7 linked regions of the Rattus norvegicus genome follow. The protein of the gene in region 7 purifies or fractionates together with the protein of the main gene of each other region. This does not show direct contact. Links are inferred from orthologs where the notes say so. Each region holds a gene or a part of one and is shown on either strand. Other genes may lie near its edges. The genes, in order: Nop58, Nopchap1, Wdcp, Tuba1a, Actl6a, Znhit6 and Ruvbl1.

Region 1 (4,058 bases), on a different chromosome or scaffold from region 7:
CAAAAGGCTATGGAGGCAGCTCAGTTAGTAAAGTGCTCCCCTAACATGTACGGAACCAAACCTTGGGTTCCATCCCCAGCACCAATAAAGTCAATGTGGTGGCATTTGCCTGTAATCTCACTACTGTGCAGGTAGGGATGGGTGGACCTTTATGAGTTCAAGGCTTCTCTGATCTACATGGTTACAAGACATACAGGACTACATAGAGACCCTGTGGCAAACAAATAAACAAGTTGTTTTTAGCAAGGTCATGTGAATTTGAGGCCAGTCTGAGATACATAAGACTTTGTCTTAAAATGAACCCTGCCGCTAAGGCTGAAAGTTTCCATAAAAGAAATTGCATTGAGACATGTTTAAACTCATACCTCGGGATCACTTTAAACACACACACACACACACACACACACACACACACACACACACACACACACACACACACAAAACCCCCCCTCAAAAAATACTTATACTTATAGCTATAAAAGAAATCTTGGGGTTGGAGAGATGGCTCAGCGGTTAGGAGTACTGGCTGTTCTTCCAGAGGTGCTGAGTTCAAGGCCCAGCAACCACGTGGTGGCTCACAACCATCTGTAATGGGATCTGATGCCCTCTTCTGGTGTGCATGAAGACAGTGATAGTGTACTCACATACATGAAATAAATAAACAAATCGTTTTTTAAAAAATGGAAGAAATCTTGGCTAAAAACTTGTTTGACCAGAGAGGAAAACCACCAGGAAATGTTCCTGGTTATAAAAGTTTGCTTCCCTTGCAGAGGACCTGATTGGGTTCCCAGCACCCACGTGACGGCTCACAATTGCCTACAACTTGGCTTCCAGGAGGTTAGAAGAGGGTGTGTCAGATCCCTTGGAACTGACTAATGGGACAGGAATGCAAGTCCTCATTAAGAAAGTGTTCTGCGTTGTTTTAAAATAAAATGTCCTTTACATGGCGGGAGGTAGCATAATGTGCTGTAAATTATACACATGTACTTTATATATTGTATATAATAAAATATATAAATAAATTACACAGAACTTATTTTTCACATAATCGCGTAAACTGACAGCTCTCAAAATCAGTTCAGGACTTCAAAAGTCTCGCGATATCTTGAGACCGCCTTCTTCCGGTCTCCTCTGTGGGCGGGAAAAAACCGGAAATGACCTCACGCTCTGCGGCATTAATCGACCGGAAGTGACGTTGACATCCCAGAATCCTTGGAGAAGGAGACTTTCGTATTTGCTGCTCCATGCGGAGAGGTGTGGAACGTCTAGGCAACGTGGTCTCCCCGCCCGCGGGTAGGCAAAGGCGTTTGCGCTTCCCAGCGTCTGAGGCCTAGGGAGCCTTCAGTAGCCGAAAGTTAGTCTTTTGCAGTGGAGTAAGGGCTCGCGGTTAGCCGCGTAGCGCCCGGATCTGGCCTCACCATGTTGGTCCTATTTGAAACGTCCGTTGGCTACGCCATCTTTAAGGTAGGTGAGATGGAATTGTTGAGCCAAAAGGCTTATGTGGGACAGACAGCTATCCATGTTAAGATTTAAGGAGAGACGGAATAACGGAACACATTTGAGTGTCTTTCAAGTTCCCAGATCCGAAAGGATGTGAAAAATCAAGAGCCGGTTTTTCAAGTGAACACGTGGCTTCTCCGACTTTAGGGCGCCCTCCTCTGCTTTAGAGATTTGCTCAGTTTAAAAAATGGGTAGGACCCTTTTTTACAAGTAATAATAAAACGTTCATTTAATAAAAATATTTACGGTGTTGGGGATAGAACCTAAGTGTACATGTTAGACCAGCGTCCTGTCACACAGCTACATCCCTAATTCAAGATCAGTAATTTTTTTATATTCTTTAACATTTACTACTTTATGTATGAGTATAGCTGTCTTCAGACACACCAGAAGAGGGCATCAGATCCCATTACAGATTGTGAGCCACCATGTGGTTGATGGGGATTGAATTCGGGACCTCTGGAAGAGCAGTCAGTGTTCTTAACCACTGAGCCATCTCTCCAGCCCCAGTTATTTATTTTGTGTTTTTCTAGACCGGGTTTCTCTGCTGCTCGAGTTGCCCTGGAATTCCCTCTGTCCCAAATGCTGTAATTAAAGGTGTGCATCGTCATCCACGGGCTTTTATTTTTCAGGGAGGGTCTCGCTGTGTAGGATTGGCTGGCCCCTAACATTCCATTTATATTTAAGTAGATTAAAGCTGGCTTCCAAGATCAGGGTCCTTTCAGGCATGTTTGGAAGGTTTTGAGTACTGACTGGTGTAATTTGTTTTATCGAAACATTATTTTACTGTGTGATAACAGGAAGGAACAAGAGAAAGTTATGCTGTGGTTTAATTTAGACAATATGAATGTTAGGACTCAGGACAAATGGCTGAGGTGCCTATTAACGGCAAATCTGACTGGCCGCCAGTCTCCCTGTATATTCTTCAGCCCAGTAACTGGGCTAGAACCCTTCCCAGCTTAACTGATTTCTATATAACCCAGCCATTTTGTCCACAACTGTCTCTTGGTCGTCAGATTTGGTCTTGGTCTTTCTGTTCCTCTCTTGTCCCTGCTCAGCCTGGACCATTCTAGATGCCTCTGGCTGTATTCTTTCCCTCATATCTGCAATGAAACCTCTTCCCATACCTAGAAGTGTCATGTCCTTTTTGTTTGTTTTTTGTTTTTAAATTCAATGAGATTGCTTGAATGGAAATTTGGGCTGCTAGCAACAGGATTGATGGGTTTTTGTTTAAGTGAGACAGTTGGGGACATGTTCATGATTTCCAGTTTGGACTATGTGAGGCTTATCCTGATGTGATTGTATAAACCAGGGAGTTCATAATTGCAAACATGCAGAGAAATCTAGGTGGCTGCTATTAAACTTTAGTGTCCCTTGTTTAAATAGGGAAAGGTTTTGGTGGTTTTTTATTTTCTTTATTTTATGTGCTTTGGTGTTTTTCCTGCATGTGTGTCTGTGAAGTCAGTTAGTGGAGTTACAGACAATTGTGAACTGCCATGTGGATTTGCACCCAGGTGTCTGGAAGAGCAGTGGATGCTTTTAGCCACTGAGCCATTTCTCATTGTAAGAAATAGCTTACAACTTTATTATCATGGAAACCGTTGAACAATGGCAGACTACTGAGATGTGGAAACAATGAGGTAGAGTGAGTGTCCATGTGCTGAGCATTCTATTATTTACTTATTAGGATACTCCAGTGTTCCATGGTTTTTGTGATAAATGTGCTGTGTGTTGTTACTTTATTGGAGGGTTGAGTATTGAAATTTTCAGTTTATAATTACTTGGTATTTATATTACTGGAGGCATATTCTAGATCTAGTGCTAGTGATTGCAGTTTGTGAGAAGGGAATTGCGTACTGCGCAAGGTGAATATTTTATGTGAGTCCCAACAATACTAGTTGCTGCCTTTTTCCATGATCTTTCAAAATGATAGAATATGAATTAGATTTTGAGAGAAAGCCCTGTTGGCACAGACTAATGCCCGTACTAATGAATTATAATTCCTGGAAGTGAAGACAGACCTATGGAAGTGATTTAATGAGATTTTGTCATAAAATAAAAGGAAAACAGGGTTAGGGATATAGTAAAAATACTTGCCTGGCACTTGTGGCCCTTGGTTCAATTTCTAGACATTCCAATACCTTCAGTTGTATTGGCTACAGATTTTTTTCATGCTTGGGTCAGGCAGTGAGTGTTCTAATTACTGCTTAGAAACGATATATGGTGGCATGATTGGGTACAGCCAAAGTTTTCTTTGCTCTACAGGATTTGTAAATAATTTGGATAACTATTAATCACCATGATTTTATTGCGCTTTCTTTCTGCTTTAACTTTAGTTTTAAGAATGATGACAATTTGGGGCTGAAGAGATCCCTTAGTGGCTAAGAGTACTTGTTCTTCAGAGGACTTACCTTTCCGGCACCCAACTACATGGTGGCTCACAATTATTTGTACCTCCAGTTCTAGGGGACAGTCTTGACCTCCAACAGCAGGCATAAGAGAATGGGACAAAAATCTCCCAAATATGACAATTCTGTTAATCCTTTTGTTATCTTCTA
Region 2 (3,988 bases), on a different chromosome or scaffold from region 7:
ACTCTTGAGATGGCTGGACTCAAGACAGCTGTCTCCTTACAAGTTGTTCCCGAGAAGTCTAAACTCAGACACCTGCTTAAGACAAAAGCTCTTCAGCTGTAGGGAAGTCCCCAGCTCCCCTAGTGCGTGGGGCCTTGAATTTTGTTTCTCCTTATGATTTAAATGGAGTCTGAAAATGAAATGGTAGTGCTTACAAATGTTTCTTTTCCTTGTTCCCAGCAAAACCATGAGCACTGGGTCCCAGGGCCAGGGAGAGAGGAGGAATGGGATTTATCATTCAATGGTTTTATTTCAGCTTTTTAAAAAAATTAAGGGTTTGTTTTGATGCTGGAGACCAAACTTAGGGCTCCCTTCACAACTTCACCACTTAGCTACCACCAGGAACAATTTTCATTTTGACATGACAATGTTCCAAAGGCTTGTTGTATATATAGCAATATAAACAGCATTTATGATACTGCTGGGTTTTGTGTTTACCATTGAATAGTGAACTAAGCTCGGTCTGCTCATCCAGACCTTAAATTCAAGCTATTTAGGAGGCTAGAAAGAGCCAGGAGGACTTTTGAGTACTAGGCCAAGAAGAATAACTCGGTGAGACTTCAACAAGCAACAAACTAAGGCAAGCATAGTAAACGGGTGCCTGTAGATTTAAGTGCAAGGAAACTGAAACTGGCAAAATTGTGAATTTGAGGCCAACTTGGGCCAGCCGGTTAAACAAAAAAAAATTTTTTTAAAGAAGCTGGGTGTGGTGGCTCCCACCTATAATTTGGCGTTTGTAAGTTACAAATTATGGCAGGATTGCCACAAAGTCAGGGCCACAGAAACCTCCCCAAACAAAAACAAAAATAGAATAACGACAAAGGCCTCGTATCACCTTCACGCTTGCGTTTGCTTAGCTTAACCTAGCTGGGCTGACGCTTACTAGTAGTAAGGAAGGAGACCTTTTGGCTGGACTCGGACACGTGCAATCCTAGCGGTCCGCCCAGGCAGTGTGGTGTCCCCGCCCCCCGCCTGGGGCCCGCCCCCGCTTCCGGTCCCCGTGGGCTGGAGGCTTCAGCTGCAGGCAGGAGCTCCCGCCACGCACCGCCCCACCCTCCTAAGTCACCGCCCACCTCCGAGTTTCCGTCAATTGCCGCCTTGACCCCGCCCCTTCCCCGTGCCTTTCTATATCCGGGCTTTTCCACTCCCAGTGCCTGAGAAGCATGGCGCTCCGTGGTGAGCACGCGAGTGGTCCTGGGGTTTCTTCGTCTTCTGTGGACTGCTCGCGGATCACGGTGTCCAGGGAGCTACTGACGGCGGGGAGCGAGGGTTCGCGAGGTGAGCGGCGGCGAAGAGCGGGGTGGGCTGGCGGGACCGGGGACGCTGCGGGGTCGAAGACGCTGCAGGACCTGGAACGCTGCGGGAGGTTGGGAACGCTCCCGGGACCAGGGACGCCGCGGGGTTCAGGGACACTAAGGCGCCCAAGACTGCAAGGGGTCGGGTCTCTGCGAGGACCGGGGACACCAGGAGGCCCGAGACGCTGCGGGGGTCGGGGATGCCGCGGAGTCCCGGACGCTAAGGGGGCGGGGACTCTGCCGGTGTCAGGGATGACCGGGCCAGTCGTGGTGGGTACAACTAGGCCAGTCCGGACCTGGGAGGTTCTTCATGAACTCTACAAGGACTACCTGGTCTGGACCGGCTTGGAAGGTAAAGAGCAGACAATACCATTTTTATTATTTTTTGATTTGGGTACAAACTCCTTAGTGTGGCCTTGGCGGAGGGAGACCTGTGTGCGGGGAAATCCACTCAGCATTTCCGCTAGTGTCACATCTCATTAATTCCAGCACTTGGGAGGCAGTGGCAGTGGGATTTCTTGAGTTCGAGACCAGTCTGGTCCACATAGGACGTTCTAGAACAGCCACAAGTATAATGTAGTGAGACCCTGTTTCAAAAAAACAATTCTCAAAAAAAACCAATCTGTGTTGTCCTGGTTCTGAAACTTGCTCTGTTAGACCAGGCTGGCCTGCCTCTGCCTCTGAGTGCTGAAATTAAAGCATTTCTAACTTTAAACTTGAAGACTAAGTTTTGCTAATTCTGTTGTTTAAAGTTGTGGATTGTGCATCCCTGGTGTCTTACGAGGTCAGAAAGTGATCTTTTGTAACTGGAGTTACAGTCCAGTATGAGTCCCCACGTGGGTGCGTGGTCTCAAACCCTGGCCTCTGCAAGGGCAATTAGTGCTTGACAGTTCTATTGTGTAGTCCTGGCTGCCCTAGAGCTCCAGAGATCACTTGTCTGCCTTTTGAGTGCCCCACCATGCCCAGCCCCCCAACCTCTTTTGTTAACTCAGAAGATAGAATCCAGTGTGTATTTGAGTACTACAGGTGGGTGAGAGATGGCCAGAGAGAGGAGAGATGGATGTATATATAGACAGGGGTGTTTGCTCCTTCTCTGTCAGTGTGTGGAATGGTCCAGACTGTAGGTAGTCCTAAGGGCTGTGCTGATGGCCCCTCTCTCACTGTTAATCTATCATTTCTGAGTTGCACTTGTGGCTCAGGGCTGTTTTATGCCGTTAATTGTGTGTGGTTTCAGGTGTCTGGGACCAGCTGCTTATCAACTCTAAGCCTCATTCCAGAAAGGCCTCTACCCTTCAAACAGTTCGGGTACAAAGGAGCCCTTGTAAGTACCTCCTTTCTACTCTAGAGGACACTCCCCTGATTAAGGCTAGTTAATCCATTTTGTGATGGGATAGCCTGTCTTCATGGCTCATACTAAACCAGAGAGTCAAATACATTGTGTAAACCATTTTCTGAGGAATAGAATTTTTCATGTTCATCACCTCCCTTCAATTTTTTTCTGAATGAAAGGTATTTTTGAAACTTCAAAAGGTCCAGCTAGTTACTTAAGATCTTTTTTTTTCCCCCTTTTGAGACAGGGTCTCATGTAGTCCAGGTTGGCCTCAGGCTTCACTGTGTAGCTGAGAAGGACCCTGAACTCCAGATTCTCCTACCTCACCCAATTCTAGAATGAGTTACGTGCTGCCATGCCAAGTCTGTTTTTTTCCTCCCCTCTGACAAGTCTCTTACCCCTGGCTGGCCTGGAACTCTGCCTCCCCCTCCCAAGAAGTGGGTTAAAGGTGTGTGCCACCACACCTGGCAGGTATTTACTCCAGGAGATTGCTCAGAACAGGTGCTTGTTGAGCAAACATGAGGACCAGGGTTCAAATCCTTGGAACCCACTTGAGCTGTGTGGCTTCATGAACCCATAACTCTTAATACTCTGGGAAGCATTAAAGGACTCTCAAACTGACCTCTGAAATGTCACAAGCCAGACCTCCATCTGCATTGCTCTCAACATTCTTCTCCTCCAAGCTCTCTACAGAATGGCCCAGCCCAAAGTTCTTCTACAATCTTAAAAGCACAGTCGGGTCTCTGCCACAGCAGTACCCCATGACTGCAGTACCCATTTCTGTCCTAGTTAGGGTTTGTTTTGCTGTGATAAAACACCAAAGACCAAGGCAAATTTGGGGTGGGGGGTGGTTTATTCGGCCTACACTTACACGTCACTGTATTACTGAAGGAAGTCAGAACAGGAACTCAGCAGGGCAGGAACCTGGCGGCAGGAGCTGATGCAGAGGCCATGGGGGGTGCTGCTTACTGGCTTGCTCAGCCTGCTTGCCTGTAGAACCCAAGAGCACCAGCCCAGGGATGGCATCACCCTCAATAGGCCAGGCCCTCCCTTCCCATCAATCAGTAATTAATTAAATGTCCTACAGCCGGGTCTTGCAGAGGCATTTCCTCAGTTGAGGTTCTCTCAGATTCTGGCTGGTACCAGCATGGTGGTGAGATTGAATGCATTAGTTAGAACTCTGAATTGCCTAAGAGCAAAAGCTCTGATTGCTTTAAGAGAAACCAGAGTTAGAAACTAAAAGTTGTATCTGGATCCCAATGCTCATTTTCTCCATGTGCTGCCGGTCTCTGCTCTGCTCTCTCGGTGTTAGACTAACCTGAAG
Region 3 (2,670 bases), on a different chromosome or scaffold from region 7:
GAGCTGGAGAGGTGGCTGTTAAGAACATGAACTAGGCTGGGCATAGTGGCAGATTCCTTTAATTCCAGCACTTGAGAGGCAGAGGCAGGAGGATATCTGTGAGTTAGAGGCTGGTCTGGTCTACATAGTGAGTTCTAGGCCAGTTAGGCCTACATAGCGAAATCCTCTCTCAAAAAAGAAAAGAAAAGAAATCCCAAGGAAGAAAGGAAGGAAGGGAGGGAGGGAGGAAGGGAAGGAGAGAGAGAGAGAAAGAGAGAGAGAGAAGGAGAGAGAGGAGGAAGGGAGGACAGACCAACAGAAGGACATGTATTGCTATCCTAGATGACCAGAGTTTGGTTCCAGGCTGTCTTCTGACGTCTTCTGGTACTAGTGCACACGGGTATACAGACGCATGTGCAGCAAAACACTCACACACACAAAATGAGTTTGACTCATTTCACTGAACCAGATCTCCAGTTCCATTGTAACACTGTTCCCCAAATACTTAACGAAGAGAATATTTAAATAATTAAAAGAAATGTATAATGTAAAAGTAACTTTTATTTATCATCGCGTGTTTGTATATAATATGTTCGTGTCAGGTGGGCATGCATGTAGAGGTTAGAGGACGACTGTCAACAATCAGAAGCGGGTTGTGGTGGCACAGCCAACGGTGCTAGTGCTGGGGAGGAGGGGCTGACGAATCTCTTGAGTTCAAGGCCATCCTTGGTTACACGGTCATTTGCAGGCCAACCAGGACTATATGTGAGACTGTCTTAAACAAACAAACACAAACCCATCAGTTCTCTCCTTCTGTCTTGATTCTAGGGATTGAACTTGGGTTTCATAACCTAAGTGACAAGTGATTTTTGCCACCGAGCCATCTCACTGGCCTGGTGTCTTAGTAATGAAACTTTTGCCGTGGTGAACACTGTGACCAAAAGCAACCTGTGGAGGAGGAAAGGGTTTATTTCACCCACAGTTCCATATAATAGCTCATCATCATGCAAGCCAGGAACCTGGAGGCAGGAGCTGATGCGGAGGCCATGCAGGGATGCTGCTTACTGGCTTGTTCCCCATGACTTGTCCAGCCTGCTTTCTTATAGACCCAGGACTACCAGTGCAGGGATGGCCCCACCCACAATGGGCTGGGCCCTCCCCCGTCAATCACTAATTAAGAAAATGCCCTACTGCCTTGCACACAACCCAGTCTTATGCCAGCATTTTCTCAGTTGAGGTGCCTTCCTCTTGAATGACTATACCTTGTGCCAAGTTGACATAAAACTAGCCAGCATAAAACTACCTGGCCCTAGAAGTAATATTTTATTCTATGTTCACAATTATGCTTTTAGGTTAATAGTGAATCTTAAGTTAGAACCGTAACAATTTAAAGATATTTTCCTCAAGGTAGATTTTAAATCACTTCTAAAATGACTTCATTCTTTCATGACAAAAAAAAAAATGTTTGTTTTGAGACAGGGTCTCCCTATGTAAGCCTGGGCTGGCCTCAACTTGCCTTGTAGACTAGGCTAGCCTTAAACTCACAGAGCTCTGCCTGTCTCTGTTCCCTATCCCCCAGTGCTGGATCCGAGGCATGTCCACTATGCCCAGCTCCCTCTACATTGTTCTTAAGAGCTGTCAGTCCATTGCTTTAATAGTCGGTTAACCACTTTTACTTTTACTTGAAGAAACCTTGTTCTGTGGGTCCTGCTGAAAAAAGAGCTGTGCTTCTCTGTGACGGCAGACTAAGGCTCAGTACCATTCAACAGATGTTTGGCCTCCACCTCGTTGAAATGCTGCACGGTAGGTGAAAGCCAGAGCCCCCTCTCCCTCCCGTCTGTTCTGAAGCTTCAGGAATGGAAATGGTACCATCCAGCCATTCAGGGGATTCACTAAATAGTGAATAAATATGATTAATTGCCTACTATATACCCTGACTGCCTACTGTATACCCTGCCCCACTAGAGATATTACAACCCTTTCCTGGGGGACTCGTATCCCTTTTTTGTTTTTTTTTTTTTTTGTTTTGTTTTGTTTTTTTTTTTTTTTGGTTCTTTTTTTCGGAGCTGGGGACCGAACCCAGGGCCTTGCGCTTCCTAGGCAAGCGCTCTACCACTGAGCTAAATCCCCAACCCCTCGTATCCCTTTTAAAAAAGAAAACTGAGCTGCAAGGCAGAACATTGCAGCTGCAGCGTTCCCGTTGCAACCCAATGCACCGGACATAGAAACACTGCAGTGTGCAGTTGACATGCTCAGGTGGAGGCAGTGGGGGGATGCGAAGGACAGGACTACACGCAGGGCCTACCTGATGCCCTCCTCAGCACACACAGACCATGGCTGGTCTCTTCCTTTCTTCCTTCCATTTCATTTCATTTTGTAGCCCTCGCTGTCCTGGAACTCACTCTGTAGACCAGACTGGTCTCAAACTTACAGAATTCCTAAATGCTGGGATTAATAAAGGCATGCACCACTACTGACCAGCTCATTTTTATTTTTAAATAGCAGCCACCACATTGAACATAAGACATTTTATTTTTCCCTTTATCATTGTAACATTTTTCAGTTTTGACAGATACATTTACATATGGCTTTACAGTTGCCATTTTTGACAGGTTAGTATTATTTCTGAAGTATACCATTTTTATTTTATCATAGTTTCTTGTTTATGTATTTGTGTTTTATTTTTAAACA
Region 4 (4,198 bases), on a different chromosome or scaffold from region 7:
TCCTAGGGGTGAAAGCAAGGCATTTTTGTCCCAAGGGGCAATTGAGCAACGACCACAGTAGCAGTGGGGCGAGCCTCTACAGTTCCCACAGTCAGAAAGAAGCCCAGCTGCGGAAAGGGGCTATTTACGGAATTCAGGGAACTACACAAAACTGCACAGGGCTGGCACTGCACAGTTGTCTGGGGATGAAAACAACATCGCAAAAATGGTTTCCTTTTTATATTATAATACTCTCCTCTTTTTAATTTGGCATCTCAGCTATTTTTTACTTGGTATCACCCCCTCCCCCTCAAAAAAAAGGAGCGCTGGAGAAATACAAGCCCACACAAAGAGCTCGTTTTTAAACTCACTCCTTTCTCCTTACAGTTTCTGAATTCCGTATTAGAAGGGATGGCTCATTTCTAGGGACAAAATAACACAGGCTCTGGGGTGAGGTAGGGTCGGGTAAGGGGGCGAGCGGGGAGGGGTGATGGGAGAGCACTACCGCTAAAGAAAGCAAGCTCTCTAGTAAAGCGTTAAGTACTACTTTGTATATTGTTTCTCTTTTTTCCTTTCTCTCTCTCTCTCTCTTTGTTTGTTTTTGGTTTTTGAGACAGGATATCACACTATATATCCAGGCCGGGTACAAAATAACCGCAGTCCTCCGCTTCCCAATGCTGGGATTTACAGGCATAAACCACTAAGGGCGGTTATGATGACCTTGAGCTGCAAGTCTTCCTGCCTCTGCCTCCCAGGTGCTGTTGAGGGTCATAGGCGTGGTCTATTCATACTGAGCTTCTGAATTTTGCTCAAATATTAATAATAATAGTAATAATAATAATAACCACAATAATACAACTGTAAAACTAAACATTTACCCACGCCTTTTTGACCATCATTCCCATAGCTCTTGCTACTTTATTTAAAGCGAACAGAGATGTTGAATCCTGACGGAACGTATTTAAATTTAGTGTAGTATAAATGAAAAGCTGGAATTTACCATAAAGAATCTCAACACAAATTCTGTGATTAAGTGTTGGGGAAAACCTTAAATTATCCTAACTACAGTTTAAGGTTTAAGCTCCGTATAATCACCCAACCCCCGTTTTCTTTCTTCCCTCTCTACCCCTCCCCAGCTCCACCCCATAATGGATGCTCGGCTAGTTGCTTTTGCGAGGCCTTTGTCTGAAGGATGCAAAATCTACGGATGCTAGCGAGGGGGGGAAGGGGGGAGAGATTACCTCATACCATGTCGCTTGCACCAATCACCACTCTCCTGTCGCGGCTTCTCTGGGCAGACGGAGGGGTCTGGACCAACAGGAAAAGGCCTTGGCCCATCCCCATGGTGACCGAGCTGTATATAAGGAGGCGCATCCGCCCAAGTGCCGCAGGTTCTCTTACATCGACCGCTTAAGAGTCGCGCTGTAAGAAGCAACACCTCCTCCTCGCCTCCGCCATCCACCCGGCAGCCGCGAAGCAGCAACCATGGTGAGCAAACCTTCCCGGGCTCTCAGGAGCGGGTGGGTGTCAGCCGGCTCAGTCTGCAAGGAGACGCCTAAGCCTTTTGTCATCTCTGCGGGGAAGGGTGGTCTGGATGCTTTAAGTTTAGCTTAGTCCGTGAGTCCCGCCGCCGCAGTGCGGGACACGGAAACGCCCAGACCGGGAAGAACAAAGGCTGCGCCGGCGAGCGATTGCTGGCAGAGCCCGGGACCACAGGGGACCGGCGGGGGAGAGGGAGGGTGCCGCAGGGTCTGCTGCAGCAGGAGGGCAGGGCGGCGGCCGAGCCCGCACTCCAGAAACGCCGCCCTAACTCGCTGGGAAAATAGTTTGCCTGGGATCCATGGCAGCCGCTGTCAGGGAGGCGCAGGGGCGGGGTTGTTTGTCTCTTGCTTCCGTGGCGTTTTGGGAGGGGTTCGCTCTCACTAAGCCTCACTCCCGAGCTGGGTTTTTTATTATTATTATTATTAATTTTTATTTTTAAAAAGAATCGTTGGGGAATTGTAGTCTTACGAGATGCTCCACGGGGCCATCTCGCTGGGTGGGGGGAGGGGAGCTGGATGGTTGGGAATGACAAAGCCCACTTTGTGAAGCCCGAGTAGCTGACGGTCAGAACCCAGGGAAACGCCCTTCCCCGCCCCCAACCCCCGCAGACAATGAAAGTTGTCCCTCCAAGGCAGAAGTGTCTCTCTCTATAGAATAGTGGTTTATTATGTTGTATGTAGAGATTCATCGGATAAAAATACTATTTTCTACTTTTAAATATTAGTTATCTTTTCACTTGTTTTTTTTTTAATTGTTGGCACTAATTGTGTGCACTGTGTTTCTAACTTAGCCTGCTTTAAGAATGTTTCCGTCCCATCCAATAGAAAACCTTCAAAAACCATAATGATTCTGCTGCAAAGAAAAAAAAAATGATACTCTGCACCCGACTGCCTTTTGTTCTAATATATGACACTCATTCATTAATTCAGGCAGATGGCCCCAGGCAGGGTTGGGAGGCACGCAGAAAGCTGCACAAAGAGATCACGTAGACAGCTTCTGGAAATAGAGCTTTCTCTGTTAAATAATGTAACAGACCACAGGCTAGAGCCAGGCACAGAGAACGCGGCAATGCAGAAGTCAGACTCAATAGCAGGTAACCTAGCCTAGTACTGACCGGGCCCACAGAAGGGTGTGGCTGCTGGCCTCAGCCGCACTGCAGATGTCCACATTGAAATACCAGGTCCTATAGGATGAAACCTTAAACTTTGTGAGACTCGGTCTAGCTTGCAGCTTAGCCAGAGTACTAATGGGGTCCACAGAAGGGTGTGGCTGCTGGCCTCAGCCGCACTGCAGATGTCCACGTTGAAATACCAGGTCCTGTAGGATGAAACCTTCATCCTTACTTAACAAGAAAAGAAGCAATTAATGTAATTTCGGGTAATTATTTCATTTTACAGAATCTATGTTTTGAATATTTTTCAAATATGAAGACTTCTATTCAAACACTGCTATGGGAACAATGGGTTGGCACCATGTCTTAAGCAGTACTAAGGTGACATTGAGGCCACACCCACTTTCAGTATTGGTAGTGGGTACTCCTTCCTCATTGTGTCTGTCATATTAGGGATATGACACTAAATAAATTTAAACAATGTTTGTATTTTTAGAAACACTTTAGAAATCTATTAAAATCTAAAATAGAAGTACAGCTTAATATTACAACAACTTAATTTTATGATATTTTTTCCCCCTTTCCACAGCGTGAGTGTATCTCCATCCACGTCGGCCAGGCTGGTGTCCAGATCGGCAATGCCTGCTGGGAGCTCTACTGCCTGGAACATGGCATCCAGCCTGATGGCCAGATGCCAAGCGACAAGACCATTGGGGGAGGAGATGACTCCTTCAACACCTTCTTCAGTGAGACAGGAGCTGGCAAGCACGTGCCCCGGGCGGTGTTCGTAGACCTGGAACCCACAGTTATTGGTAAGTGGACTGGGGGCTTCCCTGGGGCAGTCCTTCTTGGTCACATACTCAGAATGTCTCTCCAGACCCGGAAGGGTGAGTGAGCTTGTGGGGTCCTTGGTGGTGATGGCTGATGTCTTCTCCTTTTTCAGATGAAGTTCGCACTGGCACCTACCGCCAGCTCTTCCACCCAGAGCAGCTCATCACAGGCAAGGAAGATGCTGCCAATAACTATGCCCGTGGCCACTACACCATTGGCAAGGAGATCATTGACCTTGTCTTGGACAGAATTCGCAAGCTGGTAAATGCCCTATGTGGATGGGTTTAAAATGCAGTGGGAGGGTGTCTTGGTATCTGTCAAAATGTGTCAGGTCTTTCCTATCAGGTAGAGATGGCTCACAGTCTAAAGGAATTGAAATAGTGTATGCCCTGGTAATAAGACATTATATGTCCTTTTCTCCCACAGGCTGACCAGTGCACGGGTCTCCAGGGCTTCTTGGTTTTCCACAGCTTTGGTGGGGGAACTGGCTCTGGGTTCACCTCCCTGCTGATGGAGCGGCTCTCTGTCGACTACGGAAAGAAGTCCAAGCTGGAGTTCTCCATTTACCCAGCCCCCCAGGTTTCCACTGCTGTGGTTGAGCCCTACAATTCCATCCTCACCACCCACACCACCCTGGAGCACTCTGATTGTGCCTTCATGGTAGACAATGAGGCCATCTATGACATCTGTCGTAGAAACCTCGACATTGAGCGCCCAACCTACACTAACTTAAAC
Region 5 (3,500 bases), on a different chromosome or scaffold from region 7:
AGAGGGAGAGTATATCAGGAGGGGCAGGTGAATCTAAGCAGAAGAAGTGAGTGAATATGGTCCAGGTCCATGATATACTTGAAGGAAGAGTGTCTTTATGAACCCCAACACTGTGTACAATGATTACACACACCAAGAATGGGGGGCAGGGAGGACCTTAAAAAATACTCAAAGAAAGGTAAAAAGCTAAAAACCACTTCTTCCATTAATGTCTTACACACACTGAGAAAAGCTGTCTTATAGTTTAAGGATACGCCGTCAAAACTGCAGTTTTGCAAAGGAAGAATGCAGGGATGCTGTAGTGCTCAAACATCAACTCTGTCAGTTTCTCTCTCTTTGCCCTGGTGTTCCACTGGAGAAGGGAGAAAGGACATAGGTTATTCACTGAACAGTAATTAAAGCATTGATTCATTTCATACCACATTACAGAGTCATATTGGTGAAGGAAGTTAAGAGGTCCTTTTTAAAAAAAATATATAAATGAAACTCTATTATTCAACAGGTAAAACTGTTAGCTGCTATGAGTTCTAGAAATAAAGACTTTACAATCACAGGGAAATTAAGACTCTAAAAACAAAAGTATTCTTAAATATTAAACCTGGTAATCAAAAGACTAAATATGAATTTTAAAACACTCAATCATCCCACTTGTAACTGGTTCTCACAAAGTCAATTATTTCATTTGCTGAAATAATGTTATAACCATAATCAAAATTAATCTTTCCCCAAATTTCCAAACTCAAAATGTAAATGTTGATGACTCTTTAAAAGAAAACAAAAAGCCAACAACATAATTCAGCAGGTAAAGTCTGCTTTGTCCCCAATCCTGACAGCCTGAGTTAGAGCCCTGGGATCCACATGGTAGAGAGAATTAATGCCTCTACATGTGTGCCTGGCACATGAGCACCCGTGTGTGCATACACACACATAATAAATTAATTTTAAAAAGTGTATTTTTTTCTAAAAACAAAAAGAAAATCTTCAAATGAGCAGAAAGTAAAAGAAGAAAAAGAGCATACACTAGAGAAACTAGAAGAGAAAGCGGTCTCACCGGTGCTTCCGACATGAGAACAGGATGCAGACTGGCTTCAGATTTGACATGCATCTTGTATGTATGATCCAAAATGGCCTGGAAACTATCCCAGTCTTCAACTAGAACGTAAGAGTCAGAGCAGGAAACAAGGCTTAGCTGATGAATGAGCATCATCTAAGACAAAAGGACTGTTTCTAGACTTATAATTAGTATCTCAATATACAGAATCTACTTTGTAACACAGTACTTTACAGAAAGGACAGTATCGTCTTCTGCATATAAAATCTCCTTCTGGTTCTTCCAGGTGGGCCTCAGATCTGCCCCAAATATAAATGGGGTGCTTAACAGACACCTAGTTCTTGCTAGAGGCCAGGTGGGTGATCAGAGAGGGAAAGCAGCTCATAAGCTAGACACAATTATTTCTGGAGCTAGGAAGAAAACAAAAAGCAAAATACACACTATCTGTTAGAAAACTAAGGATTTAAAGGTGTTTTAAAAATCCAGAGTAGCTAGACGTGACATTGCATACCTTTAATCCCAGCACACTGCACTAGGGAGGCAGAGACAGGCAGGTCTCTGTGAGCTCCAGGCAAAGCAAACAAAACCTGGCATCCCCCCACCCTTTGCTCATGTGTCACTGGTTAAGTGGTGACAGTTCCATTGGACAATTAGTATTATCAATTAAATGTGACCTTTTGACCTTACCTGGCACTACTGATTACAATGGTTTACAAATGTTTTCTCCATAAACCCATGTTTTTTTTTTAAGTCTGTAGTCTTCAACAGTAGCTGGGACCTATGTCTCCCTTGGGGAAATTTCAACCCACTGGCCATGACTTGACTCTGTAAGTCTTAAACTTCTCTTGAATTTTCCCCCTACACCTAATTTGAGGCTGAAATTCTCCTTCCTGAGCACTCATCTCAACTGGTTAAATACTGAGCAAATTCCCAATAGAAAGCCCGTTCTTAACCTCTTACAAGTTCCACACCCTTTCTGGGTCACCTACAATGTTTCTCCATGACTTTTAGCTGACCTGCTTACTAGATCAGTACCAATGTCCCATACACTCTGAAGTCAGGCCACTCACTTGCTGTATGGGAGAGCGCAGCAAACCTGACCCTGCACTGGTGTCTCGGCACTCAACAGTCTACAGTTCCCTGCACTGATACAAAGCACACCCAGTATGCTGACAGTAGGCTACTGTGTCCAACCTGTCTGCAAAGTAGCTCATGTTGATTACTGCTTCCCACCTGTGTTTCTACACCTTTGACGTATGAGAGGCAGAAGTGGTCCGATGTGACCAGCCCTCAAAGCCTTACAGAGTCTCTGCTAAGCTCCTAGGTAGACAATACATGCATTATTACACTGTGCAGAGTGAGGCAGAAGCACACTCTATGCATCCACAGTGAAAGACTTGGGTCTCCTCTGGATTTCATCCCCTCTCCCTTTTCCTTGGATGCCTTCTGTGTCTTTTCAGTGTGGTATCATGAGTCCTCCTATGAATAGCTCCTATGAGTACCTCAGAGTTTTCTCCAGAGACAATAACATTTCTGCCTGCCTCCCCTTTTAATTCTTATCTTAGTGAGTATTACCATTGATTCATCACCTCAACCAAAATTCTAGGAAACCTTAATTCTCCTCTCCTTTCTGCCCCCTTAATCTCCTAGTACCACCTGTCGCCTAGATATTCAAAAGTCGCTTCAGGACTCTGTTCTCAGTGGTTTAGTTTAAACCCTCCTCAGTTCCATTCTCCTCTTTGATTACTGTCCTGTCTCCAGCAGACCCTACAGACTGTCAGTGAGTCCTTCAGAATGGCAAAGATAAGCGCACACACTACGCCTTACTTAATTTAACTTCCCTAGGCCAGCTTTCAGGGACTATTTTAGCATGCTCCAAGAAGACAGCATTCTCTGCCTACCTTTCCTGCAAGCAACCTAACATGCACAATGCTGCAGCCACATCTGTGAAGCAGTTCAAACATATCCTTCTCAACTCCCATCTCATCACACTAGCTGCTGCTTTTCAGCTTTTCTCAGCCTTGTTGGACAGTTGAATTCCTATCCCATGGCTCAAGACTTAGCAGCTACCTCCTTTATAAACTCTCTGATCCCACTGTTTGCTGACCACACGCACATAGCTTTTAACCTTGTACACAGCACGCAGTTTTCTGTACATACACCAAACTCTTCTGACTTTGAGTTTAAAGGAAAAGAACATTTCTTACACATTTCTGTACTCTCACTATCTAAAATATTACTTTATCGAATTAAAACAAACAAATACTTGTTATTCATCTTCTGAGATTTGTTGCTGTCTATAGCCAATTCCTACCCATGCCATTCTTGAGCGGTGAGATGGCTTCCATGCTCTCCCTGGGCACTCGGAGGGCATTGGTGTCTATGTAGTAGGTGGGCCCGCCCTGCTTGCCTTTGTCACCATCGATCTCCATCATCGTGCTTCCATCAT
Region 6 (3,500 bases), on a different chromosome or scaffold from region 7:
ATACCACAGAGGCTTGGAGTTGTGCTAGAAGTCAGATTCTTATACCTAGGCAGAATAGACACAGAGGTGAAGGGAGTCCTGAGACTGTGTCCTGTAGTTATAATAAAGTAAAAGCTGTGTCAGACTTGAGTTTGTGAACTAGTAATCTCTGTTTAGTCACAGAGCGCTCGTGGCTCTGAAGAAGCACTGGCATCCCTGTTTGCAAGTAGGAAACAGGATTGAAGGCATGAAGTGAGCCAGGGAGCTGCTCAGTGGACAGCACCTGCTACACAGGCGTGAAGGTCTGAGCTGGAATCCTGGTACCCTGGGAAAGCCAGGTACGGTCGCCCATGTCTGGGCTTTCTAGATGCCAGCCAGTATGTTATGGGCATCAGCAAACAACAAAAGACCCTGTCTTAAGGTGGAAGGTAAGGACTGACCCTCAAGACTGTGTAAATGCCAAGTAAATAAATTTAAGTAAAGTAATTAAACACTTAGAAGTGATGTATCCAGGATCAGACCAGTCAGTAGCAGAGAAGGGCTTTAACTCCTATTAGGCTTACTGCTTCCTATAGCCAAATTCTAAGTCCATAAGATGTTACCCTGTATGTATTGGACGGGCTTTCTTTATGTATGACTTCATAGTACACTTTTAGTCACTGCTGCACACTGGTGTCCTAGAATTTGAAGAATTTCTGACTTTGAGCTAAGGGAGTCTACTTTGAAATATGAACTTCACAGTCACCAAGCAGTGCTCTGGATGCTTGCTGGCCCTTAAGAGAAATGTTCCTCTGATAGAGGCTGTAACTGTGCAGGGCAAACACTAACTGAAACCCTGGAACAGGGGCTACAGAGGCAGCCCAGCAGTGAGAAGAGCATGCTGCTTTTACAGAGGACCAGACTTTGATTCTCAGCCATGTTGGGAGGCTCATAGCCACCTATAGCTCCAGGCCTCTGAGGGCACCTCCTAGATGGGACATGCACTTAAACACACAAATAAAAAAAGACATTCAACAAACCCACTTTCTGTCGTATTTGAACAAAATGTTTTAAAAAACTCTTTAGTTGACAGTTCTGTAAAAAGCTGTGTAGTAAGTGTTTTGCATTATGCCAGCTTGGTTTACGCAATAGAAACATCCCTTCATTTGTGAGGTGTCTTAGAGGAAGCCTTGTGGTTAGGATTAAGTGTGCGTAGAAGGTAAGCTCTTTCAAGGCTGACCCCCTGATGCCTGATGAGACCTCTGAGAGCCCTGGTTGTGTTTTCCCCTAGGAAAAGTTCAGGTGCATCACTGTGTACTGTACACTAATTTTATATTCAGTTATCTAGTATAATCTCCTGTTTTTCTTAGTGTAACTACAACTGTTTCTTTTTAATGTATTTTTAATTCTGTGCATCTGAGTGTTTGGCCTGCGTGCACACAGTGCACCACATGTGTGGAGTGCTGGCGGAGGTTAGCAGAGGGCGTCAGATCTCCTGGAAGGGCAGTAACAAACAGTTGTGAGGTGCCCTGTGGCCTCCAGGAATGGACCAGGTCCTGGGCAAAAGCACTGAGTACACTGCTGAACCATCCTCCAGCCCCACGTTGTTTATTTTTGAGGGAAATAATGTTTGAAAGATGTGAAGCATTTGATCCTTAAATCCTGGACCCACTTGTAAATATTTTCTGCACATCTGTCTTCTGTTACCCAGGGAGAGAATGGTGTGTGAACACAGATGCTGGTTCAGAAAACACAGTTACTTTGCTTTTCATGCTTCTTTGTAATGCTCTGTGATTCTGAAGTAAATACTCCATCCAGTTCTTGGTAGAGTGATCATCAGAAAAGCTCACACACAGGTTTCCTTTACACTCAGTCTCTCAGTGTCATCCCCTAAGGAAGACCTGTTATCATGGGAGACTTGGATTGGCATTCGTAAAGCACTTACCCTTTCCCCTGTTGCACAGGACAGCCTTGGAACAGAGAAATTGCTGTTATGGGAGTTCATAACTCCATATACAAATAACTCGATGTAAATTTAGAGATGCCAAAACTCGCCAGTGATTTATGCCAAATCACAGCAGGGGTAGTGCTTCCAGGGGACGTCTTTGCTCTGGAGCCTTCACAATCCAGCGCGCTTTCTGTTCTAAAGACTTACTCTGTCATCATTACCTTCCTTGTGTGTACCGTTAGGCTTGTGCATGTGAGTGCCAGTTCCTGTGGAGGCCAGAGAGGCATGGGACCTACTGGGGCTGGAGTCAGGTGGTTGGGAGCCACCCAGTGTGAGTGCTGGGGGCCAAACCCGCGTCCTCTGCAGGGACAGCAGATGCCCTGAAGAGCCGTGGGTTTGTCTGCCTGTGAGGGTCCTGTGCTGTCCGTGGGGGAGAGTGAAGCTGGTGAGCCTCCTCTTGGTGTTTTCCTGTTGGTCTGAAATGACATTCAGACGCCAGCGTGTTCCAGCACAGACTATTACTGCACAGCTGACACAGCACCCAGAGAGCAGGCAAAGGAGACTTCAGGACGACGTACCTTTGGCCCATTCTGTCTTTTAAGAACTTAGCGGTCTTATTCCTTAGTGCGTGTTGGTAATTAACTGTTGTGTATTATCAGCTATGTCTGATACCGTGACCAATAGTCTGTAATTCTTAGATTTCTCACATCACATTCACAAATCAAAAGTATTAAAGTGTCAAGATGAAGACAAACTATATTTAATTGCATGGCAATATAAACTTCTGGAATCCAGTTATAAGTAAATTTGACCTTCTATAAAAGTATTTTGTAGCCACTTATTCTTTTAAAGTTCAAAGTAAATAGATTTGAGGAATTTGAATTTCACCTGTCAAAGAAAAGCTCATGATGCACTGAACATTGGTTTTACATAAAACTGTTCATTTCCAAGTCTATATGAAAACTAGGGACTTGGTCTAAGTTTTTTCAAGTGCCAATATCTGGTAGGTCTTTTTTCTAAATATGGCATCTTGCAGTCATTTCCTAGACTAGCCTCAGACTTCCTGTTTCAGCCTCCCAAGTAAGTGACAGATCCTGTACCACCGCGCCCTGCTTGCTATACATTTTGATTGTTTGCTGTTATGTTGATCGCTTGAGACAAGGTCTAAATGGAACCCAGATTGGCCTGGAACTGGATGTGTAGCCTAGGCTGCCCTCAAGTCACGAGCCTCTTGTCACGGCTGCTCATGGATTCGGTTATAGGCACTGATGTACTTGTCCAGTCATTTCAATATTAGTCTTTTTGCCTGGATTCTTAGAAGACGTAAGTGTGGTTTTTTTCTTAAGGTATTATGAACTGGATCCTTCCAAAAGTCTTGTAAACAACTTGAGGAACAAAGTGATCATTGAGTATCCGACTCTGCATGTGGTATTGAAAGGCTGCAGTAATGACATGCAGCTTCTTCACCAAGGTAAGCAGTTTGTTTTGTACCTTTTTAAAGGGACACGCAATAATGTGACTGCTACTACATGTGCCTGTGTTTGTAGATGTAAAAGAATGTACTGTGTACAGCAGCTGATCGTGTGACGTACCA
Region 7 (4,206 bases):
AGTTAAGAGCACTGGCTGTCCTTATAAAGGACTCAAATTCAATTCCCAATACCCATATGATGGCTCACAACCATCTGTAACTTCAGTTCCTGGGGATCTGACACCCTGTTCTGACCTCCTTGAGCACTGCATGGTGCGTTCACACCTGTGGGCAAAACACCCATATGGATAGATTACAAAAATGAAAAGACTTGGCACTCCCTGGAACTTGTCTAGCAATCTCTGCCTTTGGTTTCTCGGCTGCCTGTCACTTGTCACTTCTGTTCCCAGTCACTCTAGAACTCACTAGCTGCCTTTTATCACTGTCTTCACTGCTATAGCCACTCGGCATGTCTTCATATTACCAGCTCAGTCCACCATACTATTAATCCAGGTGGATAGACCACTGGAGAAATCTTACAATGGGACTAATGTTACAACACAACTGTACATTGTACAGCACAGGAGGGTGTCTCCTGGCTGACTTAAAAGTGAGGGGCACCTGCTTAGAATGCCAGAATGTCAGAGGGTAAACAAGAATGTTTGCTGTCCTTAGTACAGCCCTCCATGCAAATGAAGCATTAAATTTACACTATGGTACAGTGGGTTGTGGAAATGGACTACCATGTTTGCACCAATAACCAAACAGTTGCTTATTCAAATAAAGGGCCATGTTTCTTCACAAGTCACAGGCAGTTTTTGTTTGGCTACCTGGAGAACTGTACCCACTCAAGACAGGTGAAAATGGCTGGTCAGAGTATGGTGGCAGCACCTTTAATCCCAGCAACTCAGGAGGCAGAGACACCTTCTCTTCTTTTTTAAAAGTTTCTTGGGCATGTGATGATCAAAATCATGACATAAAGTGTTTGAAAAGTTTGGGCTGGAATAGTGCCTTCAGGATCTAGTGTATTCTGGAAAAAATGGGCTGGAAAAGAGTGGTTGGCTGGGCAGCTTCCTCAGGGCATCCTTGGGGTGTCTAAATTAGGTGTGAGTGGGAGAACTTTGGGCAGCTGCTTCGTTGATAGTTCTCTCAGGACATCCAAGCACCTGGGAAAGGTCTAATAATTGTCAGTGAAGGAGTCAACTCACCCTGGCATAAACATCTTATACTAAAGAAAAAAAGCATTAAAAGAGGAGTTTATAATTAAAAACCTGCCATTCACATTAATAGCGCTTAAGAATCTGACGGTTCCCAGTCAAACCTGGCCAGGGCAGGAAATGCCTGCCCTGGGGGAACCTAACCTGTGACACAGACGGAAGTTGGTGGGTGAAACTCAGCCGCCGACAAGCGTAGCTTGTAGCCAATAGAAAACGAAGTCTTTTCGCTTCAACCAATGGCGTACTAATAAGGGCGGGTCCTGGAGAGCGGCCTAGTAACGGCCGCGTGGTAACCCAGGCGCCTGGCGTGCCGTAGTTCCTAGTCTCCACGCAGGTTGTGGCTGCACACACTCGTCAAAATGAAGATTGAGGAGGTGAAGAGCACCACGAAGACGCAACGCATTGCCTCCCACAGCCACGTGAAGGGGCTGGGGCTGGATGAGAGCGGCCTGGCCAAGCAGGCGGCTTCGGGGCTCGTGGGCCAGGAGAACGCGAGAGAGGTGGGCGTGGGGCGTGTGCACGCGGTGTGGGCGGCGGGACCAGGTCTCACTAAGATTTGTCTGAGAAGTGAGGATCACATTAGCCAGCAAGGGTCACGGCAGGCAAATTAGGCCTCACCGGAAACACAGTGGAAAGCTGTGGGATTAAATGTAGAATTGACTAAATTTTCGGAGTTGATATGGGTTCTTTAGGCCTGGGAGCTGATCTGTTAAGTGGAGCGGTGAGGAGGAACACTATGACCTATTCCCCATCCAAGCACTCTAGCTTTTCCAGTTCAGTCTTCTTAAAGTCATTGGAAGTTATGCCAGGTCTTTCGATCGGTTCTGTTTTGCACACGAAGAAATTAAAGGTGGGCCAGGTCGCTTAACCACCTGCCAGTTCAGCAGTAATGAGGCTGGTATTCTCCCGACCCCACCCCAAATGATTACTCTTCCCATTTCCTCAGACTGCTCCACTTTGATCCCTGCAGAGACTCAGTATCTACAAAAACTTGCTGTTTATATGTGGTGAAGACTGCTTTCCCAGCCTCAAGAGCATCATCTATCCAAAAGGGAAACGTTTGACCCTAGCTCACTTGCATCTTTTTTTGCAAGCAATAGTTTAATGCTTTCTATTTGTCAGGCGGCTTTATTGTCTGTTATTTCATTTCTGTCTAATAAACCTCACTTTGGTCTGATGTTTCTAAGCACACAGAAACATTGACATGTTTGCACATTAAATCCCAGTGTGCCAAAATTCTACAGTTAACATTTTACAGTGATGCTTTATGGTATATCTGTTCATGTATGTCTACCGTCACAAGTCAGAGTAAACTGTGGACATCAGCCCACTTTGCACATAAGCCCTTCCTTGTGGGTACAGTTGTTTTGAACACTCGGAGTCAGATGAGTAATAGGTGTTAGGTAAAATAAATCTGAGGACACTCACCTCAAGTGAAATGGCCAGGATAGATACTGGATTGTATGTGACTTCAGAGTCTGTTCTAGACCTGCCTCTGCACTGGGTTCTTGTTTGGCCAATCACGCTAGCAGCCTCCCTGGTACTCAGTATCTTCACCCTTATTATTATTGTCATTAGCTGGTATTTATTTATTTTTTTTATTTTTTATTTTTTTGATTCAATAAAGTTTTATTTTCCCAAATGTACAGCTGATTCAATCTGTTTATGCATCTTCACCAGCAGCTGGGGCATCTCCACCCTTTGTGTTTCTGGTGTAAATTACTTGGGCTCTGTGCTTTGAAACCAGCTTGATAAGTCCTTTACTAAGTAGCTCCTGAAGGGCTGCCCTGGCCAAGGAACCTCGAATCTTCAGTCTCTCGGAGACCACAGCTGGAGTAATAAGCTTATAGTTGGGAACTTCCTTACAAAGTTTGTCGTAAGTAGCTTTGTCAAACAGGATGAGATTGTTCAGCTTGTCCCGAACTTTGCCTTTGGACCACTTCTTCTTTTTGGCCTTGCCACCAGATTTATTTACTGGGTCCTTGTCTTTTTTGGCCGACTTTCCGGCATCCTTCTTCTTCTTGTCGTCTTTGGGCAGCATGGCGAAACTCAGAGAGTAGTGTGGACCACTGCAGCCACACTCTGGTATTTATTTTTGTATGTTTGTTTTCACGACAGGGTCTCACTTTTAGCTCTGGCTGTCCTGAGACTCTGTAGACCCTGCTGGCCTTGAGTTCACAGGGATCCATCCGCCTCTGCCTCCTGAGTGCTGAGATTAAAGGCGTGGGCCTTTACTATGCACCTGGCTTCCTTAGCTGGTATCTCTTTCTTTTCCTATTTGACACAATGTGTGCGTAGGCTGTGCAGTTATAGGCCTGCCATGGTGTTTGGGTAGAGGTCAGAGGTTCCTCCTTCCATTGTGGGATCCAGGGATTGAACTAAGGTTTACACTGCAGGTGCTTTTTACCCACTGAGCATCTCACCAGCTCTTTCCAACTCTTATTGGTTGGATTCATAGCACACCCTTTTTGTTTAGATAATGTTGCCGTAGCCAAACTGGCCTGGAATGCACAGCCCTGCTGCTTTTGTTAAGTACTAGGTCTGTGTTGGCTCCTGCCTGCCTCAACCTCCCCTTTCCCTTCTGTTCACTATACTTTGGTAGCTGCAGCATGTTGACCCTTAGACATATCAAACTTGTACTTTGGTTATTTTCAATTTGCAATTTTTGCCTGAAATGTAGATTTCTGCCCGGGGCTTCAAATGTTACATACAAGGTTATGAGAAAGCCCCCTCCGCCCCAGCTCTCCCTAGCTGCTCAGTGTCTCATTTTGCTTCTCTCTTTGTGGGAGCCATCATATGGCATGAGCTAGAGCACGTGGCTCACCCCCACCGCTCCACCCCACAGCAGTGGTGTCCTGTCAGAAGAGCATCGGAACTGTGTGGACCAAGCCCTGAACTGTTTCTACCATGAAGCATTTTAAGATTGACTGATTGTTTCTTTCTGTTTTGTGCAGGCATGTGGTGTCATAGTCGAATTAATCAAAAGCAAGAAAATGGCTGGAAGAGCTGTCTTGTTGGCAGGGCCTCCTGGAACTGGCAAGGTATTCATTCATTTTCTCTCTCTCTTTTTTTTTTTTTTCCTTTTCTTTCCCTTTTTTTCTGGAGCTGGGGACCGAACCCAGGGCCTTG

What was found.
Region 1: the proteins of Ruvbl1 (region 7) and Nop58 purify together in Homo sapiens (affinity purification with mass spectrometry; 4 studies listed by BioGRID and IntAct, with this or other methods). This does not show direct contact. The link is inferred for Rattus norvegicus from reciprocal best matches to the Homo sapiens genes RUVBL1 and NOP58.
Region 2: the proteins of Ruvbl1 (region 7) and Nopchap1 purify together in Homo sapiens (affinity purification with mass spectrometry; 4 studies listed by BioGRID and IntAct, counting the BioPlex papers as one, with this or other methods). This does not show direct contact. The link is inferred for Rattus norvegicus from reciprocal best matches to the Homo sapiens genes RUVBL1 and NOPCHAP1.
Region 3: the proteins of Ruvbl1 (region 7) and Wdcp purify together in Homo sapiens (affinity purification with mass spectrometry; 6 studies listed by BioGRID and IntAct, counting the BioPlex papers as one, with this or other methods). This does not show direct contact. The link is inferred for Rattus norvegicus from reciprocal best matches to the Homo sapiens genes RUVBL1 and WDCP.
Region 4: the proteins of Ruvbl1 (region 7) and Tuba1a purify together in Homo sapiens (affinity purification with western blotting; 3 studies listed by BioGRID and IntAct, with this or other methods). This does not show direct contact. The link is inferred for Rattus norvegicus from reciprocal best matches to the Homo sapiens genes RUVBL1 and TUBA1A.
Region 5: the proteins of Ruvbl1 (region 7) and Actl6a purify together in Homo sapiens (affinity purification with mass spectrometry; 10 studies listed by BioGRID and IntAct, counting the BioPlex papers as one, with this or other methods). This does not show direct contact. The link is inferred for Rattus norvegicus from reciprocal best matches to the Homo sapiens genes RUVBL1 and ACTL6A.
Region 6: the proteins of Ruvbl1 (region 7) and Znhit6 purify together in Homo sapiens (co-immunoprecipitation; 3 studies listed by BioGRID and IntAct, counting the BioPlex papers as one, with this or other methods). This does not show direct contact. The link is inferred for Rattus norvegicus from reciprocal best matches to the Homo sapiens genes RUVBL1 and ZNHIT6.

Annotation. Positions count from the first base shown.
Region 1 is NC_086027.1:68,613,816-68,617,873, forward strand, and holds the start of Nop58 (nucleolar protein 58), read left to right. Parts: upstream 1-1,258; 5' UTR 1,259-1,419; coding exon 1,420-1,464; intron 1,465-4,058. UniProt on the Homo sapiens protein: Required for the biogenesis of box C/D snoRNAs such as U3, U8 and U14 snoRNAs. Part of the small subunit (SSU) processome, first precursor of the small eukaryotic ribosomal subunit.
Region 2 is NC_086025.1:22,244,351-22,248,338, reverse strand, and holds the start of Nopchap1 (NOP protein chaperone 1), read left to right. Parts: upstream 1-1,188; 5' UTR 1,189-1,202; coding exon 1,203-1,317; intron 1,318-2,568; coding exon 2,569-2,655; intron 2,656-3,988. UniProt on the Homo sapiens protein: Client-loading PAQosome/R2TP complex cofactor that selects NOP58 to promote box C/D small nucleolar ribonucleoprotein (snoRNP) assembly. Acts as a bridge between NOP58 and the R2TP complex via RUVBL1:RUVBL2.
Region 3 is NC_086024.1:33,580,145-33,582,814, forward strand, and holds part of Wdcp (WD repeat and coiled-coil-containing protein), read left to right. Parts: intron 1-1,667; coding exon 1,668-1,782; intron 1,783-2,670.
Region 4 is NC_086025.1:131,993,020-131,997,217, reverse strand, and holds the start of Tuba1a (tubulin alpha-1A chain), read left to right. Parts: upstream 1-1,398; 5' UTR 1,399-1,464; coding exon 1,465-1,467; intron 1,468-3,221; coding exon 3,222-3,444; intron 3,445-3,575; coding exon 3,576-3,724; intron 3,725-3,889; coding exon 3,890-4,198. UniProt on the Homo sapiens protein: Tubulin is the major constituent of microtubules, a cylinder consisting of laterally associated linear protofilaments composed of alpha- and beta-tubulin heterodimers.
Region 5 is NC_086020.1:117,423,731-117,427,230, reverse strand, and holds part of Actl6a (actin-like protein 6A), read right to left. Parts: coding exon 3,366-3,500; intron 1,153-3,365; coding exon 1,052-1,152; intron 353-1,051; coding exon 255-352; intron 1-254.
Region 6 is NC_086020.1:237,171,158-237,174,657, forward strand, and holds part of Znhit6 (box C/D snoRNA protein 1), read left to right. Parts: intron 1-156; coding exon of another isoform or gene 157-235; exon of another isoform or gene 236-317; intron 318-3,252; coding exon 3,253-3,377; intron 3,378-3,500. UniProt on the Homo sapiens protein: Required for box C/D snoRNAs accumulation involved in snoRNA processing, snoRNA transport to the nucleolus and ribosome biogenesis.
Region 7 is NC_086022.1:122,488,348-122,492,553, forward strand, and holds the start of Ruvbl1 (ruvB-like 1), read left to right. Parts: upstream 1-1,406; 5' UTR 1,407-1,436; coding exon 1,437-1,577; intron 1,578-2,661; exon of another isoform or gene 2,662-2,740; coding exon of another isoform or gene 2,741-3,118; exon of another isoform or gene 3,119-3,180; intron 3,181-4,031; coding exon 4,032-4,118; intron 4,119-4,206. Other genes in the region: Rps25l3 (small ribosomal subunit protein eS25-like), read right to left, coding at 2,741-3,118. UniProt on the Homo sapiens protein: Possesses single-stranded DNA-stimulated ATPase and ATP-dependent DNA helicase (3' to 5') activity; hexamerization is thought to be critical for ATP hydrolysis and adjacent subunits in the ring-like structure contribute to the ATPase activity.